Linked DNA regions of Mytilus edulis. The protein of the gene in region 3 purifies or fractionates together with the protein of the main gene of each other region. This does not show direct contact. Links are inferred from orthologs where the notes say so. Each region holds a gene or a part of one and is shown on either strand. Other genes may lie near its edges.

Region 1 (7,045 bases), on a different chromosome or scaffold from region 3:
AATGCATGAAATTATCTGATACTGGATTTAAAAATTAACTGACTAACAACATATGAAGGGTTTCTATTTGACAATGATAACATACATGTACAAAATGTATAACCCCACCGCATATTTGTGCCTGTCCCAAGTCTGGAGCCTCTGGCTTTTGTTAGTCTTGTATTATTTTTAACTTTAGTTTCTTGTGTATAATCTGGAGTTTAGTATGGCGTTCATTATCACTGAACTAGTATATACATTTATTTAGGGGCCAGCTGAAGGACACCTCTGGGTGTGGGAATTTCTCGTTGCATTGAAGACCTATTTTTGACCTTGTGCTGTAGTCTGTTATATGGTCCGGTTGTTGTCTCTTTGACACATTTCTATTCTCAATTTTATGTATATAAACTGTATAACAAACCTCTAGCCCTGTTACATCTCCTATATGAGAGGCCTCACAAATAGGTATTGGGTCATTATCAACATCCCCTTCTGTTCCCCTGCCATCTCCATCATCAAATTTCTTTTCTCTATTAACTTTCCATAAACATACTTTATTTTCCTGCAAAAGAAAAGATTTAAATTTAACATACTTCAATCACCCTAATTTTGTCCAAAACAAATCATAAATAACTTTCTGTGTTAAGCTAATATGTATCCTGCTTTGTGAAAATATGCACTGTATTTTTTTCCCTTAAATAAGCTCAACCTGAAAGGCCTCTATATTGTACATTATCATTTTTTCTAACTTTTGGGTTGTATTTGATGGAATGGCGTTGGCACACTTGCTCCTGTAGAAGGCAATATTAATTTAGTTAAATACCAAGAAATACTTGATGAACATTAGAGGCTTATTAGCTCAGCAATTTTGGGTAGGTCATCCTTTTTTCCAAGATGACAATGCTCCTGTCCATCATTGCACAGTACACCCACAAATTTGTAGCTTAGAACGGAATACATTGTTAGCTGGCCTGCACAGTCATCAGACTTAATTTGTGCCCTTGAATGTGATAGAAAACATTTGGTTATACAATGTACATTGTATATAAAAAGAAAACTTCAAACACGTACTGGGATGATTAAATCTACAAAATGAAATGTTCGAAAAAATTTATCGTATTTGCATGATTAGGGTCAATATTACGCCCTTCGATATTCATTGCTTAATAAATACAATTCCGAAAAGGATATTAAATGTAATCAAGCTCAAAGGACATCTAACAAAGTATTAAAGTAAGTTTTATAAATTTGTTGCATATTTTTATTGCATGCTACATGTACGTGTATGTACAAATGTATGTGAGATTCAACTTTGTATTACAGGTTGTCAAATTAAACAGTTTTTATGTTATTTATATGTTTTTATATTTGGTCAAAAGCTCCTTAGAGCTTGTTTTGTATATTTGTACTTATGCAGAAATCAAAATAAAATTTTCTTACATGTACATGTATCTTAATTTTCTATTTTTTTGTATTTCACTGGTTGATTTATTTACAGCGCAAGCTTGAACTTTGCAACACTCATTTTCAAAGTAAACATGCCGCCATCATGGCCATTGTGACTTTTTGCATTTCTCTGTAGGTGAAAATCCATTATTCAAATTTATTCTGTTCACAAATTTCCCTCTGAGGAAAACTAGGCTTATGCATGAAATTAAAACATTTTTTAACCTCTAAGTTGAAACAAGAGCTATCCTGGAACTATCTTCTATAAATGTAGCATCAATAGAACACTTTCGAGTTTGTCCGTCACCAGATAATCTCATCAATAGTGCACGCCTTTATGTCAGACGTCATTTACCAGATAGAGGGGATCGCATGCATCCCTGCACTATAAATGCTCATCAAGTGTCTAAGTTGTCGTCATTGTGGAGGATAAACTAGAAATAATATTTTTGCACTTAATCACAATTCTGGTGCCAGCTCCACCAGCGGACTATTTTGTCATACCAGCACGACCCTAGCGAACGATCAAAGCCAAAACATATTCAGACTGTGAAACTGACAATATCATCGAACGTCAAGGTCATCAATAACACCAGAGGACTTAAAGTACCAAATATAAACAAACCACAGAATAAACATTCATTTTTTATGGAAACAACTATTCACTGTAACCAACTACCAGATAAAGTTGTGCATGCAGGTTCTGTAGAGGCATTTAAGACCACTCTACAAGAACACCGCCCATAACAACGGCGCTTTTCTCCACCGTGTATAAAAGCCTAAACAGGATTCTACACATACATGTACCACTATAGATACAGACAGAATTCCCTAATGACAGCAGTGCTGAAAGACAATAGACGTATTTACACTTTGTATGCAAATTTGTCCGCCATTACGTAAAATCACACAGGTTCCTGTAAACTTTGACATCATAATTTAAAATATTTGACGTCACAATTTAAAGGTGATTGTTGCTTGACGTCAAAAGGTGATTTGGAGTCGATCTAAGGTCATTCTGGGGCAAGATACAGCTAAATACCAAAAGTGTAAATACGTTTATTAAAATGACATGAATGAGAATTTAATTTGCCGAATAATTTGTGCACTTAAGCTTTATAGTTTTCCAACCACTTACTCAACATTTGAACAGAAGTGATGACGCCCCTAAATGCAAGAATGATGTTCATTAAAACCAAAGTTCTTGACGGAAATGAGTCTAAATAGAAAGTTGTCTTAATTTGTCATAACATCACTCATCAGTCATCACTTCTCTTAAAATAACAAGATGCCATAAAATAATCAGTTTGACTTTCTTTTAGTAACCTATTAAATCATTCCTGAATGGATCTTCATTTAAAAGTCATATGCAGTCTATAGCTATAGCTCAAATACATATAATTCGAGAATAACAGGGAAAATGTAGCAAATTGTTAAAGTTTTGTGTTTATATGGTTTATATACTGTAAGAATCATTCAGTTTATGATATATAATGACCTCATCATCCCAGCTTCCTGTGACAAATGTGTCTGGTCCCTCAAGACTATTTTTTATAATGTTTTTCCATCTGATTTTGCTGATTTTCTGTGAAGCAAATGTTGCTCTTATGTCAGCCATTTTCAAAATTTGCACATGGCGGGAACATCCGGAACGATGCCGGATTTTTTCCGGAATTCATTCCAAAATTAAACAAATGTTTACATGTCAAAAAATAGAATTTTGTCATCACAAACTTCAGTTCAATACAGCATTTGAGAGTCAATGAACCTACAACTAAATGTTTCACACGTATAATTCATTAACAGATTTATATGAATGGTAAGATATTTATTTTTGTTTCTTCCTATAAACTGATCATGTCATATAATATTTTGGAAATAAGGCTGTGTAGACGTTAATTATTCTGTCTAAACTTTCTTGTACTATAGTCTATACACATCCTTTATGGTTAGCTTGGGAAAAAATATACAAGGGTACGACTCCGAGTTGTAAGTAAGTTTAGATTTGATTTTATTATTTTATGTGCTTATGTCACAGGCGGATTTAGGGGGGGCCAGGGTGCCCGGGCCCCCCCTTTTTGGGAAAAAAATTGGTTGCTTATATAGGGAATCACTGAAGCATGACTGGAGCGGGCCCCCTCTTAGGTCAGTCAGTAGGCCCCCGCTTATGAAAATTTCTGGATCCGCCACTGCTTATGTCATGTATGTGCTTGATGTTTTTTATATCCTGTTCTTATGTAAAGAATTAAGTTGCTTAGCTTTTATAATAGTATTTAATATGGTATACACAAGGCAAACATGGCTGATTGCATATCAACCAAAGTGTCTTTATCACCTCATCGCTATTTGTCCGCCATTACTGGATATCACACAGGTTCCCATAAAATTTTGACATCACAATACAAAATATCTGACGCCACAATGAAAAAGTGATTGTTGTTTGCGTCAAAAGTTCAAGCGAACGGGTCAGCCGGGGTTTAGCGATAAGGTGTATAGGGCCCATATTGAGCATATAAATCTGATCCAATAAAAATCACTGAGTTCATGCAATATCTACACACGTATGGAATACTGGTGGTACATGCTTTTTGTATACATTTGTGGTCATAAATAAATAAATAAATAAGTGGAGAGGGCCAGTACAAAGAGGGATAACTCCATTTGTAACTTTGCTTAACTTAACCCTTGACAACTTATCAAAATTTTATTGGGGCCTCATTGCCCAAGTGGTCTAAGTACAAAAATGTAGTTACTACTGTAATCACTAGCCAGTCAACACTGAGGTTGAAAGCCCCCCCCCCCCCCTTTTTTTTTTCGTGTGGGTGCACTTGACTCCAATCTTAATTGACTAGGATTGTCAGTTTTCTTATCTAAGGTTGGTGGTTTTATGCGGGCACTCCGGCTTCCTCCACCAATAAAAACTGGACCCAACAAAATAGCCTAAAACCTGGGCTTAAAAGTGGTGTTATTACACCAAAAATTATATCAATCAAAACTTTGTCAAAGAATTGTTTTATTAAAAAAATTTAGAGGGGACATTCAAATATGAAATGCTCTTCATCCATCATGTCCATGTCATCTTCAACTTATCCAACATGCATGTTTTAACATAACATTTGTGATCCATCTATAGTTTTTCGCATAATTATCTGTCTCTAATTTTAAGGAGTGTGCAATTATTTTTATCTTGCCTATCTTTAATTTGCTTAATTTCAAATAGTTTAATTACTTAACAAACAAACAAAAATGTTAAAAGAATAATTCAAGAGTTGACCTTTGTCTGATATTAGAGTATTTTCACTTAAATCTTTCACATGTTTTCATTTTCAAGTTATTTATTCTTAACTGTATAAAATAATTACATATTACAACATTTATATTATTTAGGTCAAGATCTTGAAAACCATTTTGTAATATTTTCTAAGTGTAGCTCTTTATCTAAAATATATATGTGTCATACATTGTATAATAAACCATTTAAAATATATATGTGAAATCTCCTTAATTCAGAAATAACGTCAAAATAATACTCGCTTTTCTAATTTCCAATATGATCAGCGAAGAAATATGTGCTATTAAATAATTTGTAGATGTAAATAAATTAAAGAAACAACCAAATATCTGTTCCAATACAAATTCTCAATTTTGAATATTTAGACCATTCTTAGTATTGGACCGGGTCACTTTACATACATGTATATTAAATGAGATAGAAGTTTTATTTTGATTTTTCTTTGTTTTTTAGCCTGATCTCTGATGGAAGAGAATTTCAAGATGTCACGGTCTGATGAGTATGACCCACTCATTGCCAATCAAGGTAATTATTATTTGACACTGTTACACTCAGTCATTAAATTTTCACTCTTTTATATACTCTTTATTTGGAGCGTGTTTGTGTAAGTATATTATTTTAGTGACATATATAAAATTTACAAATTATCAATATACAGTTTAAATTCTCAGGGGAAATAATTTTTATGTCTATCTAATACATGTACCTGTACTTAATTTTTTTTCAATTTCCAATTTTTCTGTTATTCTTTAAGTGGATGCATGCTTTATCATGTTTTTTGTACCACTTTAGGAAAATGTGTGAATTAATACCATGTGAACAGTGGCGGATCCAGAAATTTCATAAGTGGGGGCCCACTGGCTGCCTAAGAGGGGGCCGATTTCGTCAAGCCTCAGTGATTCCCTATATAAGCAACCAAATTTTTTTCTCAAAAGGGGGGGGCCCAGGCCCCCCCCCTGGGCCCCCCCTCCCTTAATCCGCCTCTGGTGTAGCATCATTGTAACTATTAAAGTTAAACAGGTAAAAGTATTCTGTGATCAGGTAAACTTCATTGGTCTAATTCATCTTTTGTCACAATCAAAGTTTTTCATCAAAAACTTGGTCAAGCTGGTAAACTTGGTTTAAATCATTGGTTGTCACTACCAAAGTTTTTCATCAAAAACTTGGTCAAAACTGGTAAACTTGAATTGGTCCAAGTCATTGGTCATTTGTCACTACCAAAGTTTTTCATCAAACTTGGTCAATGGAAAATATGGTAAAATAAAAAACTGAATTGTGTTAGTTTAAATAAAAATAGCATGAGCTTATATTTCTTCAATTTTCAAAGTGTTGAGTCTACCAACAATTTAAGAATGTTATGTGCTCACACAAAATGTACTTCGGTCAATGCTTTTACATCCCATAAATTTACAAAAAGAAGCATTCAATTCTTAAATGCAATTTTTTCTTTTGTGTATGGTATGTTATTATGAGGACATCGTATATATAATGGTCAAATGAAAAACTTTTGTAAAATCTCAAATCTTATTATATTGCAGCAGCAATTTATGTCAACACATAATGATGTTTAAAATTGGCAAAGGGAGATAATTTGGAGTTTTTCAATGTGATAAACATTTTAAAAGTCATCTGGGGCCAAAATGAAATCATGTTTTTGATTGATATTTATTTTTACCATATCATAAAGTAACAACTGATAGTGTAATAAATGCAATTTGCAATAAAAACAAAAAAATAATATTTTTGCTGACATTTTTGTACCTTCCAGCCTCCTTTAGACTCACATTATCATTCATGATTGTCTAATGATGTTGCTAACAGATTATATACATAATACATTCATCTTTATCATACAAATTTAACAATTTATTAGAAATTTTGTAGATTTATATGTAAAAATTGTCACAAATATCAGATTGACATTTTATGAATTATTGACTTCCATATATTGTTGTCATTCTGCCAATAAAATCTTTTCAACTTCTTATGATACAATTCATTTGTTTCCCTAAAGAATATAAAATAATGTAAGCATTTAGACGGCCTTTAATTTACACTTAAATCAGTTATAATAGCAATCAGATTATTTTGATGTTTTTTTTTATATTTACTACTCCAAAATGAAAATTTTGCAGGGATATGAAAACAAATATGACATAATTATATCAGACTGAATTTTATAAAAAAAAACCTGAAACTGTAAACATCTAAATAGCTATTTCTTGTTTCACTGAAAACCTGATAATACTATATTTAGGAGTAAACAATTTAAAGGTTCATGTTTTATATAAAAAATACTTTTACTAGTAATTTCCGTGTATGCTAATG
Region 2 (7,360 bases), about 32 Mb from region 3:
TTTTTATATGTGAGACTACCATCATGTTTGTGTCCACATGTGTTATTTAAATTGCAGATTTTTTAACTTTTGGAGACGGGGCCATTCGTGTCGCTTTGACACATCTAGTTTTATATTTTTTTGTTGCTGTCTCATTGAAGTATTTCCCACATCTCCTTTGATTCATTGGTATGTAATTTTGTATTTATATGATAAATAGTGATCATGAAGTTGAAGTCTATATGCAGTTAAGGATACGTCCAATACAGTGATTTACTCCTATGATTGGCTTCTGCCATAACTGTGCTACTGTCCTCGCTACTATGGCAACAGATACTAATGGGGCACCCATTCCTGGACCTGTAAAAAACAATAAAATGCAAAATGCAAAATACACAATTAAAATTTCAATTTTATTTGACGAACAACAATTATCTTTATATATGACAATGACCCAGAATATCAAGTTATGGAAAAAACAATTAGGTCAAACCGAAAAATAAATTGGCAAAATCATGATATGTTAGTTAATAAAAAAATAATCTCAGACTGACCTTTTGTATAACACACCACATCAATGTGTTTTGGATCTATTTTAGCCTCATCAAGTGCTTCCTTTAATACAACTAGAACATTAGCTCGATGATGGTTAGCTGTGTCTCTGGGCAAAAAACCTGTAATCCCAAAAGGACAGTTTTATACTACATGTAGTACTAAAAGGATCTTAATTTAATATTTCAGTTTTTCTGTTTTAAACTTCTTTTATTATAAATGTAATACATTGTAATTCAAAGACTTTTATATATGGATGCAGGTTCTCATAGAATAATTAATATCAGGTATATTGGCAATTCAAAAAGTATATGACGAAAACACCAAACTGTACCTAACTTCCAATATCATGAAAATTTACTTTGACCTATACTTTTACAAGTTGTGACTTGGATGGAGAGTTGTCTCATTTTCACTTATAACATATCTTCTTTATATCCAAATACAAATTGCTCATATTTTGCTATTAATAGACTTTTTTCATATAACTGGACTTTTGACTCAAGATTAAATTTCCACAGGTCCCTTCTCTGTGATCATGGTGATAAGAAATCATGAAAAAGAAGAAAAATCAAACATATAATCTGTGCAATTTAAAGAGAAATTTTGCTGTTTTCACATGATTTTGTCATTTATAGACAACAAGAAACAGTAAATTTACTGATTTGAAGCTTGATTTTACTTATTGAAGTTGCTCTTACTTGACTGAATACCAGGATTTTCTACAACAGACAAAATGACAGATTAAGTAACCTGTCAATAAAATATAAACCTCAGAGTCAAAAGTCTGTAATATGAAATAGTTTATTGGCAAGTACTTATTTCAAAACCATGAATATCAAATTTTAAGTTTTTACATACCTTGGCCTGGTGGAGTTATATAGGTACGTCTTGGATTTGATAACACTTTTCCATCTTGTATTATACCAATTCCAATCTTATTGGCACTTCCTTCAAAGCCAATTGCTATTACCATTTCTATTTACAAGACAAGAACAAGAATATATTGATTGTGACCAGAAACAAGTATTCTTAAATCAAATATCCTTTATTTTTAATAGACAAAAAATCTGGTATAATGTTAAGTAATTGTTGATCCTGAAGATATAGACAATTAAAAATTTGGCTGGAAATGATTTCTAGATTTTTTTCATACATTTAACATTGGCATCTTTTTTCTTTAAAAAGTTATGAAAAATTAATATCAAAGGATTTTTTTTAAAGATTTTAGTCTTCAACAATGAGCAAAACCTATAAAGGATAGTCAGCTATAAAAGGCCCAGAAATGTCAAATAACAGGCTATTATTTGAACTTGGAATTATTATCAAATATCAATTATGGAATTTACATAATTTCTTTATTTGTTGTATTTTTTTTAATAAATTCCATGTTTATTCTATACTTTAATGTTCTGTGCTGTGCACAACACTTTCTATTACAAAGAAGATAGTACATTTTCAATAGAATGTACTGTGCCGTGCACAACACTATCTATACAAAATACATTGTATGGAAAGTGTTATGAACAGCACAAAACATTATAATACCAAATAAATATGGAATGAATTAAAAATTTCAAGTCTGTACACATATAAGTTTAAAGAGAAAATACACCCATATTTGTCCATTTGTTATGATGAACCTTATAAAAAAATTATGCAATTTTAAGGCTATAAAAGTGTGTCTCTCATCTATAATTTAGGTGTTCTATGGTATTCACCAGTGTAAAATGTGTTAAAACTGCATGGTCTAAACAAACAAAAGTCAATACATCTGTCAGCTATATAAGTGAGCAAATTGGATAAAATTCTAAATGCAAAAAATAGATTTAATTCAATTAAGGGGGTTCGCGGGTCTAAATCATTTATATAGGATTTCTCAATATTTTACTATAAATGAACTTTATCTTATAGTTAAGAGAAAAATAAAATAAAAAAATGGGGTCACCGTTCATTTGCACTCACAATCTGCCTTCGAAAGAAGCATACATCTTTGTAAAAGTGTTTTTTTCCTGTTGAACTAATAAGAGAAATAAAGGTAATATCGAAATAAAAAAAGAAATTCATTACAGAAATTGCTCAAATTTTACAATAATTTAGTTTAAGTAAAGCATATATAGAAATCATATTAAAAAATATAGGTCACCGATGAGTTAAAAGAGATATTTCAATTTTAAAGCCAAAAAATGGCATTTTTCCACCAAAGGGAGATAATTTGGAACTTTTTAGATGATGTTTACATTTTAAAAGTCATCTGGGGCCAACACGAATTAATTTTTTTAATTTTTTTTTTGTACCATATGATAAAGTAACAACTACAAATGGTAATAAATAAAATTTGTAATGAAAAACAAATGTTTATTTTTTTTCTGAAATTTTTATACCCTCGAGCCTCCTTAACTGCTTAAATTTACCTGCTTTAAGAAAACACACTGATAGCAATATGAGATATGGTTTTTAGTTTGTTGTTGATTAGTTTTTATTGGGAATATGTCTCTGGTTCATATCATAACTCCCATTCATGAGGGCTGCTGAGAAATTCTACTTTCAGTTTGTACTTTCGCTTTGTATTTTATAGTAACTGGAGTTTGATCCCGTACAGGTCATTCTTTTAACTATTATGAACCTAATTAAAATGGCTAGAATATTATACAGAAATTTTAATTTAGAACGAAGATTTTTTTTTTAAATTTTGTAAATCAATAGTCAATCTAATGTGTGCAAACTTTTTGTGATTTCTTTATTTTTATACAAAATTGTTCTTTCTTTTAGCAAATGTATACTAAAACTCGAAACGGAGACGGACTAGTATCCGATTTTACTGTGTTAGAGAAGCTTGGGGTAGATTTAAAATTAGGTATTTTAAATGTATCATAGACTTTGTGTATCATTCCTAGTTTGTAAATTATCACACATGAAATGAAAATTAGAAAAATGCTCTCAAGTTCAGAATCACAAACATGACATGCATGATGATAAGTTGAACAAACTATGAAAAGAAAATACAAAATTTTTACAGGAATAAGATCTCTTTACTGACTTTAGTGATTATTGAATTGTACGGTCTGCAACATGGAGCCTTGGCTCACACCAGAAAGCAAGCTGTTAAGGTCCCCAAAAATGACTAGTGTAAACCATTCACACGTGAAAAAGAACGGTCTAATTTATATTAAACAGGTTGGGAATAACTCTAATTGTGGTACTACATGTATATCCCAATTGGGGTATTATATCCTAATTGACTTATCTATGCATACCCTAATTGGCATATCAAACCACTCTTTCCCAGTTCTCAGACTCTCAAATGAAATTTCGCACTTTTTATAAACAACCCCAGTATTTAAGTTCATGAACTGTGTCAAATGATGTATAACAGGATTATGCTGACACAAGCTGCATTTTGTGCGTGCATATCATTTTAATTGCAATTTTAACAACATGGGACTATATAACGGCATTTTACTTGAATAAAATCATATCCCAAACTAAGGACAGATGCAAACATACATGTATGCTGTGGTTTTAAACATTTTAATAGGTTCCAACCTTCACCCTTATCTGAAACAATATTGTAACAAAAATTATACTAGTACATGTAGTATATTGGTATGTTATCGGTCGTCCCACTGTCTATATCACTCTGCTCAGTTCTTAATAAAATTGCATATTACGGCTTTGTGACGTCCAATATGTTGACCCGGACATATCAGTGACGTCATAATGCTTGAACCAACGTTGATAAGTTTGACCCGAACTTATCAGATCATCTTCTGGTTGCTGGTGTAGCTAAGAAAGCACTTCCAAAAGACCCAAATACAGCCTAATAAATCGATTATCAGGTTATTAGCATATTGATATTGTAAAATATAAGCTGCTCGACACAATATGAAGGCATTTTGATCTCGTTCCCTGTGCCTGTTTGACAAAAAGCTGTATATTGTGACTTGAAGCTGATATTTTACAATATCAACATGCAGACAACCTCATAATCGGTATGTCTTGGAAGTGTACTTCTTCATCTGTACCTATTTACTTCCAATTTTTAGACAGCATTAACAGTTCCAGCCAAGATTGATCAGCTCAGAGTCTGAATAGTGTGTCCGGGTTAGGTGACATATCTTCCTGTGGACTGTTTCCTTGTGTACTACAAATCTACATGTTAATAAAATTGTGTAGTGTGTCCATCTTGTACAAAGCAGACTAATATTCTTAGTTTTTAAAAATATTTATTTATATTGGATTGGGAAACAAGTTATTGCAACCTTTATTAATCCCTTTCCGTATTTCATTTACATGATCTCGTTCTAGTTCCAAATATGCATATTAATTTGCCACTGGACGTTAAGCAGCCATCCATCACAATCATTATCCAATTATTTAACACCTTTTCACTGAAATAATTTGCAGAATGAAGAATTATAAAAGTTTCTATTATATATGTAAGACTCAGATCAAATTGTTCATTCCTCAATTCAATGTCCAAATATGAATTCATAATAAATGAAAAATACAAATCAACTGCCTATATGACATGTATGATCTCTTATTAATGTCTTTTTGTCATTCTCAAATCTACGTTTAATATTTGGCTTCTCTAATCAATGTCCTTTTTACCAACTTGCTGCAATGATTTCACAATTTTATTTAAAGAAAATATTACTCATTGTTGAAGGCCTTACTGTGACCTATAGTTGTTAATTTCTGTGTCTTTAAAATTTGGTCTCTTGTGGAGAGTTGTCTCATTGGCAATCATACCACATCTTCTTTTTTATAATTACTGTCATACTCCTGATTTCGTAAAGACATATTATTCCAAACTCAAATGATCGTTGAACCTAAATACTCTAATGTTAAAAAAATCCAAATGATAATACTTTCAATATTTGATTTTATTTTTCTATATTCTGTCTACTGTAAATTCAGAAATTATTGCGATGTTTTTATTATTGCAAAAAATTCCACGGAGTTATAATCGCAATAATTTAAACTCGCATATTTGAATATTTTATATGATTTAAACAGGATAATTTATAATATCGCAAAAATTAAATCGCATTTTAGTTTAAATTACGAAATCACAATAATAAATGCACGCAATATTTTTAAATTTCTGAATTTCCAGTATTGTTTGACACTGTATAGTATTGCCCCTAGATGTCTTTACGTTATCTTTGTATTTGGATTCTGTTACATTGTCTTATATCCACATGTAATTTATTTATATGAAAGGAATAAAGCAACATTGATCTAGTTGGTTAACTTTTATTTATTTGAGATTGTGATTTCACATTCAATTAAAAGATACAGACATCCATCTAAGTCTAACAAATATGTATTTATATATATATATATACTAAATTCCATTGTCCACAGATTAAAATCTAAAAAACCAATTTGCCTTTATACAAGAAAAAGCAGGACACCCCTGTCTCTACCTTCTGCATATGCACATTACAGTTCATATAATTTATTGCTCTGTACACATATTGGTTTTTTACAGTAATTATGACAAATTTATGCTTTCTGTAAAACACAAGTCCTCTGCAAGTAATGCTCTGCAAACCAACTTTTTTACTAGGAGTTTGGTTATAGGGAAGTAAAAATTATGTGAACAATTATATAGTTTGCCATCTCATGTCAAATCTACTTTTCTTGTACTAAGCTAGGACTATAATACATTATGTATAAGCCCCTGTTATAAGATATTTATCAACAAGTATAAAATATGAATAAAAATAGTTTTGGAGTTATTGAACTTGAAGATAATATATACAACATGGAGGATGCAGGAATACTGTTCTTTTATTGCTTTTCAGTCTGTCTGAAAGGACATTTTCCATTGCAGAGTGATATATACCACAGGATGAAATGATTTTATCAGAAGAGTTGACATAAATGGATAGAGACAAGGATAAAGATTCAATTCAGTGTAAGAATAAATCCATATTTACCTTTTTTTTCTTATTTGATCGTTTCAGTTACATTGTGAAAATATTTTAAATGGAAAGGGGAAATAAGTCTAACCTATATAAGTGACACATGAACGATTTTTTGGAGATGAGTTTCTTGTATAATACAGATCATCTTGAAAATTAATATTTACAGATTCAGATATCACAATTAACCCCAAAAAAAAGAAAGAATAAAATGGCACTTTAATTAAAACTAAATTCTTGAATTGCTCCCATTCAGCTACATTGTCGCACACCTTGATGTGTGACATATCAGAACAGGAGCAATTAAAGGATTTGATTTTAATTAAATTTTGCACAAGGGGAACTCTAAGAAGCACTATCACTGTTTATAGGTTTCCAATACTTGTTAATTCTGTGATTATTTTTATTCTATTTAAAAGAAGATATAATTTTAGGTTTTTATTGTAAGAAGAATGGACACAAGAAAGACAAATGCCCTGAAAAAGGAAAACAGATAGAACCTCCACAAGTTCACCAAAGACTGAAATGGGTGAGTTTAAGGACTTAGGTGGTACCTAACACTACAGGAAGATAACTCTGTAAAATCAGCTGAACGTTTTAATTAAGTTGCGTTGTTAAGAGAATTTTATGCTTCTCAATGATCAAAATTAGTGTTTGTCAAACTGCTATATAACCAGTGTATTTCTTTCTAATAAAATGGTTGGTTCAAATTTTTTGAAATTTTTATATTTTTGTCAAAGGGTCAAAGTGAATACTTTGTCAAAATTTAATGAAAATTAAACGAGCCAAATTGATTTTAGTGAAAGTGTTAGGTACCACCTTAAGTTAAATTTCTAAGCATTGGTACCCTGTTAAAAATCTCTGTAGACAGTGTAAAAGATTGATGGATCCTA
Region 3 (7,114 bases):
CCAAAAATAGAAAAGAACAGTACATGTATTAAATAAGTAAAGACCATTAAAATGTACTGTTAAACACCTATTCCAGGTTAGGGGAGGTTTGGTATTTAAACCCTGCCATATTCTGTGAGTGTGAGTGCCTATCATACGTAAGGAGCATGTTACTAAGTGCTTTTCATTTGTAGCTGTTTATCATGTACATTTGTATTTTTTTCTTTCATTGTTTTGGTAACATAAATCAGGCAATTAGTTTTCTTGTTAGAATTGTTTTACATTTGTCATTTCAGGTCCATTTTCAGCTGACTATGCAGTAAGGGTTTTTCTCATTGTTGAAGGCTGTATAGCAACCTGGAGTTGTAAACTTCAATGTCATTTGGTCTCTGGTGAAGAGTAATGTCTCATTGTCAATCAGACCATATTTTCTTATATATTAAATCAGAAAGAAACAGAACAATTATGAATAAACTTTACCTAATAAAAAGAAGGCTATTTATTTGATAGGGTTATAGAGAATGTAATGGTCTGCTGAAAAGGGACATTGCATTTAACCATGATATATACATTTTGAAGAAAACACTGCATATAGCCATATACACTGTCAGTAATGAATAAAAAAAAGTTAACCAGAAATAAATTGTAGCTTTATTTATCCAACCATTGTTCTTTTCCTTCCACGAAGTCTAACTTCATCTAATTTGGCAACAACTTCAACTGAACTTTTTAAGTTGTATTTTTTGTATGAGTCAAGAATTGTCTGAAAAAAATCCTCTGTATTCGGATGCGTACTTAAAATGGCTCTTTCTAGTACATATAAATCTACTCCTTTCTCCTCAGCAAAATTTTCAAAATGGCTGAGACCAAAATCTATGATAACAACATCTAATCCAGCAGGGTTACCTCTAAGAAGCATATTTGATGTTGTCAAGTCACCATGTACAATGTTATTTGAATGCATTATTCCTAAAATTTCTCCAACTTTCACTCCTAAAGGTTTAAGAATATTATTTGCGGTATCACTGTTTTCATTGGCTTGAACATGTTGAATATACTCTCTAACAGTTTGTGCATCTTCAATTTCTTCCATGTAAATACTGGAATTTTCCATGTTTGTAAAATATACGGTTGGTGTGCAAATGCCTGAAATTAAAAATAACAATATTTTTTCAAACATAAAATATACTACATGTACAGTGTTAATATACATTACTTTCTGCAACAAAATCTTTTCCAACTACATGTACAGTACTACTTATCTGAAGGCCTATATTCATATATATTGTTTATGCATGTTATGTGTCTATTGGAATTGTCTAACAATATTTCCAAATACTTTGAATAACAAATGAATACAGTTTTACTAGTCTGGGGCATCTGTAGCTGACGATGCAGGCTAATCATGATGACTTCTTGTCTCTGATGCATGAATATTTTTTATTATTAGTTGTTTTCATTAACTACATGTAGCTTACAGTTAAAACAGCAAGTACTCTCTAACCATACTTTGTGTTATTTTGACCTGTTGACGCAATTTGTAATGCATTTCTGTATTTCAAGGTTGACTTACAAATAATGTATTTTGTGTTATATCTTGTCTCACTATTTTTAATATGTACCCCCTTAGTTCAGTTTTTAATATGACAATAAATTTTCACTTCTGTACTCGTACTGAGAACAGCAAATTCATAAATTCTATAATAAAAGATTACTTCCCTACTGGCATGACTGGTCTCCTAACAACAAAATTATTACATTTAAATTTTGTGTAAACTTAACAACATCTTGTCCAAGGTTAGAATTACTTTTAGTAAAATTATGAATTACATGTAAATGTATTATAATTACGAATATAGCATCAGGGATCAGACCATCCCAACCCACCCCAATCATGTGCCTTATAGCTATTTGGAAATCTGTGCCAATTGAACTATTGCAGTCATACAACAATAATTTTTCCGTTATGGCGACAGACATTTGTATTGTGACTTCAACTTTTTATGGGAACCTTTGAGATGTCCAATAACGGCATACAAAAATCGTATATGATTCCCGCTGGTCACCGAAAATAACATTAATTTGGAATCAATGAAAATATATTACCATTCATTCGACATCTCAACAGTGCTCTTACTTCTGATTTAATTCGATGGGTTGTCAAAGACTTGTCTAATGAAGGATGGCGGTAACATTTCGTAAACCTTTCCTTGATAATACAGGGTTTTCCATAAAATGTTGATTTATATAATTTGGCTTCTGCTCCTTGCTTCATCAACACGGGAATTGTAGCAATACTATTTCTTGATTCATCTTCCATACTCCGATGATGTTCTTTAAAGTAACAACGCTACTTATTTCTGGAAATATCGGCCAAGTGCTTGCAGTTTGATAATTTTTATTTTTTAATCAATGTGAATTTGGTGCTTGAAAGTTTTGATATATTTTCCTATCTTCAAACGCGTCAATGACAGCAACAAAAATTAGCAGACCATTTTTACCTCCCTGACAGGAGAAAACTTTGTTACAGCTGAAGGTCTGCACAATGACACAAATTGGAGTGAAAAAGAAATTTACACTGTTTTACTTTCCAACATCCTTTTCATCTCAAAAGGTTAAGATTCATTAACGTAATGATATAGAGTGATAAGGTTTATTTTCATTCAGAAATTCTTTTGAAATGACAATCCACTAATAAAATACAGAAGTTCTGAAATGGGTTACCCACTGCCATTGGCATGTCTTTTTCTCCTCTACAAAATAAAACCAACATTTAAGTTCACACAAGATTAATTACCATCCAACTTGACCGAAGTTTGGATTGAGCGTTTGAATCGGCGTAAACATTCATGCACTGGGACAAACAATTATACATGATGAACATGTGATGCTACACACTTTATCCCTATTTGGAAATCTGTCCTAGTTGACCCGAGAATCTGTCCTGTTGAACTTTTGATGTCATACAACAATCACTTTTCCATTATGGCGCCAGATATTTTGTATTATGACGTCAAAATTTGATGGGAACCTTTGTGATGTCAAGTAATGTATGCCAATAAACGAACCTGGTCAATATGAAACATCAAAATCAAAACCAAAAAATCTGTTCAGCTATATCAAAAGCACACGATCTGATAACACTGGTGTTGCACCTTTGAAAAAAGACCGCAAACTAGTCACAGACATTGAGGAAAAAGATTTTAAATCAACAGTTCCAATCAGTATTTACAGATGAAACAGATGATAACATCCCAGACAAAGGTACAAGTCCTCACCCGAAAATGGCAAAAATAACAATCACTGAAGCAGGTATTACAAAATTACTGTCGAACATAAATCCACACAAAGCTGGTCCGGCCAATATCAATGGCAGAGGCCTTAAAGAACTAAAGGAACAAATCTCACCAATCCTTACATTGATATTTAAAAAGTCACTTGAAACTGGAGAAACACCTAAGGACCAGAAACATACTAATGTAGCCCCAGCCTTCAAAAAGGGGCAAAAATACAAACCAGTAAACTACAGGCCAATATCTTTAACCTACATATGTTGCAAGCTCATGGAGCACATCATTACAAGTAGCATCATGTCTCATCTTGAAAAATATCATATATTATACGATCTTCAGCATGGCTTAAAAATATCAAGGTCGTGTGAAACACAGTTAATAGACTACATTCAAGAACTAGCACAATCAAATAACAGAAACACACAAATTGACTTGATCATAATGGACTTCACTAAAGCGTTCGAAAAAGTCTCACATTGTCACCTCCTTTACAAGCTCAAATTCTATGGTATTGAAAATAACACTCTAAATTGGATTCAGGCATTTTTACAGGACAGAACACAAACAGTAGTCATTTATGGCATTTCTTCCACCTCAGTACCCGTAACATCTGGTGTACCACAAGGAACAGTATTGGGCCAAATACTGTTTCTCATCTACATGTATATAAATGACTTACCGAAATACCTACAACAAAGCAAGCTTAGACTCTTTGCTGATGACAGCATAATTTACAGGGAAATAAAAACACAAGATGATTGTTATAAACTACAACTTGACCTAGACTCAGCAGCTTGATGGGAGTCAGATTGGCTTATGGCATTTCACCCTGATAAATGTACCAACCTTTCCATCTCATTTTCCACAATGTTGTTGAATTATTTTCGAAGTTATCGGTATGACCCAAATGGATACTTCTGTCTATCATTTATGTTTTCCTTTGGGGAGCATTCATTGTATTAGTCTCCGAGGATGAAACATGCAGAAAAGTCAAGCATATTACAAAAATTAACATTGCATGCATTAGTTTTTAGTGATCCTGTTTTTGAAGAACAGGTCAAAATAAAACTTAAGTTGCCAATTGTGTAATTGAGTAATTTTGGCTGTCTTCTAATCATTAATATATCTCTTTGGGATTCTGAAAAACTTGTCTTATTTGAACATTCTACGACAATTATTTTTGCACTGTAATGTCAAAATCTTTAAATTATTCAACTGAAGGTATTCAGGGGCGGAAACAGACATTTTCAAAAGGGGTTCCAAACCCAGTATCAAGGAGTGTTCCAACCATATGTCCCTATTCAAATGCATTGATCATCCAATAAAAAGGGGGGTTCCAACCCCCTGAACCCTCCCCCTGGATCTGTCATTGGTATTCACCAATAAGTGGCAAAAGTATGTGGAGTAATATTTCTTAGACAAACAGAAGTTGAACTGCTGCACCTCCATACACAATGTTCAAACAAATAAAAGGACTCAAATAAAATTACTTTAAATGGCCACAAGAAAAAAATTATATAACAAACTTTCTTGCTTCATGATCTTCTTACCATGCTGACACAACATTTTCGGAAGTTATAACTTATGTTGTTTTCCTTAAACAAAATTACCTACCTACTTAGTACCTACATACAAACCAAACCCTATTAGTCACATCAAACAAACAAAAATTATATTTTTAAGGGTGACCTAAATAGTTTTGTTAGGTTGCTTAAATTCACTTCATTTGGAAAGTTGTCCTAAATATTGGCAATCTTACAACATCTCCTTAAATTAATATTTTTTGTTTGTGAACCAAAACACATTTTATTTTATTTATTTTATGAATGTAACTAAACAATCTACTTTATTAGTGATAAAATAACATGAATCAAGTATTTAGTAGGTTCTAATTACAATGTATAATACCTCAGTTAACAAAATCCGTCTTAGCACTTTCCTACATTACGTAATAATGTAAATTTATTATTCATTGACCTTGGCTGGCGTTTAAGTGTTAGTGGAGGTTATTGCTTTTCTGAGGAATAATTTGAATGCAGAATGATAAGTGTTATTGGATTGTTTTCTAGGTTCTTCTTGCATTCTTTGAAAAAGAGGTACCATTTAAACCAAAGCTGGTCAGTCTGTTCTCTGGACAACACAATGCTCCTTGGTATGTAAAATTAAACCCAGAAGGTGTCCATGTACCAGTCTTACAAGATGAAGAGAACATCATTACAGAACCAGACAAGATTATTAAGTATATTGATACAGCCTATCCAGCAGGTAAGAATACGTAAAATCTACTCACACCAATATTGTTACATGTAGATGGTGAGGATTAACAACTTTTTAAAAGAGTTATGCCCCTTGTAAATATTTAAATGTGGAAATTGCATTGTTAGCTCTCTCATTAAACTCATGTCATGTGAACAATTCTTTCCACTTTTTTATGAAATTATAGCAAAGATTTATATCAGTATTATCTCAGCTTCAAAAATTAGTTCCAGTCAAGATTATAAAAGAGTTATGCCCCTTCGAAATTGCATTGCAATTGGTCTTAAGCCTTCAATTCTCTATGCTATTTTATTGCATGGGCCCTTGGACAGATACTATTTGTGCAACATATGGGACAATGTCCAAGGTTGTGGTCCAAATACCAGTGAATTAAAAAGAAATTGAATAAATGTCAATTTCAACTGATGACTTGAATACAGAATACTGGGGTATACATTAATGATTTTCTTGTTCTTTTTTTCTTTCTTTCATACTTTTTAAGAATCAGAACAGCAGTTCTTGGTCTTCTCTCAAATATAATTGTTACATTCACATGATTCATGATGCATGAGGCAGTTTTTGCTCAAGAAAGTTAAACTAAATCATGCTCCATGATAACATATATATATATATAAGTTAATATAATGAAGGCAGATTTCATAATTTGTCTTTTTTGTTGTTGAGGAAACTATGAAAATTGTTTCAATAATCTAAAGATATCATGTATATATGTAGGACTCTAAAGTGCGATGGTCACGCTAAAGTGCGATGGTCTATGCTAAAGTACGATGGTGTATCACGCTAAAGTGCGATGGTTGTTTGTTCGCTAAAATACGATGGTCACACTAAAGTGCGATGGACTAAAAGTGTAATGTTAAAGGGCTTAAAGTATTAAAGAACACGGATTTAAAAAATAGTCTTCTTGCGAAAGCTAGTACAAGGTTTTATGACATATTTGATAGGCTTTATAATTACCGATAGTCTTAAGTGGTCATTGTTTTAAATGAAGAAGAACGACCACGTAATAATTGCTAAAATGGTAATTTAGGTGTGACAAAAATCTATGTGTATGTATCCTGTATATTTTTTTTTTAATTCAGGCCGGTATCACATATTTGGATAATTGGTGTAGCTTGCCGTTCACACAGTATATCACTAATGTGAACATATCCTCTCAAAGTCGTCATTGTAAATTACAAATACAAAATTCGTTCTAATTTTTCAGCAGACAATTTATGATTTACGCATGGAAACATGACGTATAAAAAAGAAGATGTGGTATGATTGCCAATGAGACAACTATCCACAAAAGACCAAAATGACACTGACATTAACAACTATAGCTCACCGTACGGCCTTCAACAATGAGCAAAGCCCATACCGCATAGTCAGCTATATAAGGCCCCGATAAGACAATGTAAAACAATTCAAACAAGAAAACTAACGGCCTTATTTGTATAAAAAAATTAACTAAAATCAAATATGTAACACATAAACAAACGACAACCACTGAATTACAGGCTCCTGACTTGGGACAGGCACGTACCTGTTACCGACTTTACTTTTCATTAAAATCAATATTTGAA

Evidence for each region.
Region 1: the proteins of EKC/KEOPS complex subunit Tp53rkb-like (region 3) and nucleoporin Nup43-like purify together in Homo sapiens (affinity purification with mass spectrometry; 3 studies listed by BioGRID and IntAct, counting the BioPlex papers as one, with this or other methods). This does not show direct contact. The link is inferred for Mytilus edulis from reciprocal best matches to the Homo sapiens genes TP53RK and NUP43.
Region 2: the proteins of EKC/KEOPS complex subunit Tp53rkb-like (region 3) and probable tRNA N6-adenosine threonylcarbamoyltransferase purify together in Homo sapiens (affinity purification with mass spectrometry; 5 studies listed by BioGRID and IntAct, counting the BioPlex papers as one, with this or other methods). This does not show direct contact. The link is inferred for Mytilus edulis from reciprocal best matches to the Homo sapiens genes TP53RK and OSGEP.

Annotation. Positions count from the first base shown.
Region 1 is NC_092353.1:66,796,415-66,803,459, reverse strand, and holds the start of nucleoporin Nup43-like, read right to left. Parts: upstream 3,085-7,045; 5' UTR 3,044-3,084; coding exon 2,924-3,043; intron 542-2,923; coding exon 401-541; intron 1-400. Other genes in the region: synaptic vesicle glycoprotein 2C-like, read left to right, coding at 5,182-5,242. UniProt on the Homo sapiens protein: Component of the Nup107-160 subcomplex of the nuclear pore complex (NPC). The Nup107-160 subcomplex is required for the assembly of a functional NPC.
Region 2 is NC_092348.1:62,725,535-62,732,894, forward strand, and holds the start of probable tRNA N6-adenosine threonylcarbamoyltransferase, read right to left. Parts: upstream 3,111-7,360; 5' UTR 2,946-3,110; intron 1,510-2,945; 5' UTR 1,508-1,509; coding exon 1,393-1,507; intron 654-1,392; coding exon 534-653; intron 340-533; coding exon 238-339; intron 1-237. Other genes in the region: retinitis pigmentosa 9 protein-like, read left to right, coding at 6,427-6,460, 6,902-6,996. UniProt on the Homo sapiens protein: Component of the EKC/KEOPS complex that is required for the formation of a threonylcarbamoyl group on adenosine at position 37 (t(6)A37) in tRNAs that read codons beginning with adenine.
Region 3 is NC_092348.1:94,762,747-94,769,860, reverse strand, and holds EKC/KEOPS complex subunit Tp53rkb-like, read right to left. Parts: upstream 2,405-7,114; 5' UTR 2,300-2,404; coding exon 2,086-2,299; intron 1,126-2,085; coding exon 635-1,125; 3' UTR 619-634; downstream 1-618. Other genes in the region: ganglioside-induced differentiation-associated protein 1-like, read left to right, coding at 2,525-2,593, 5,342-5,537.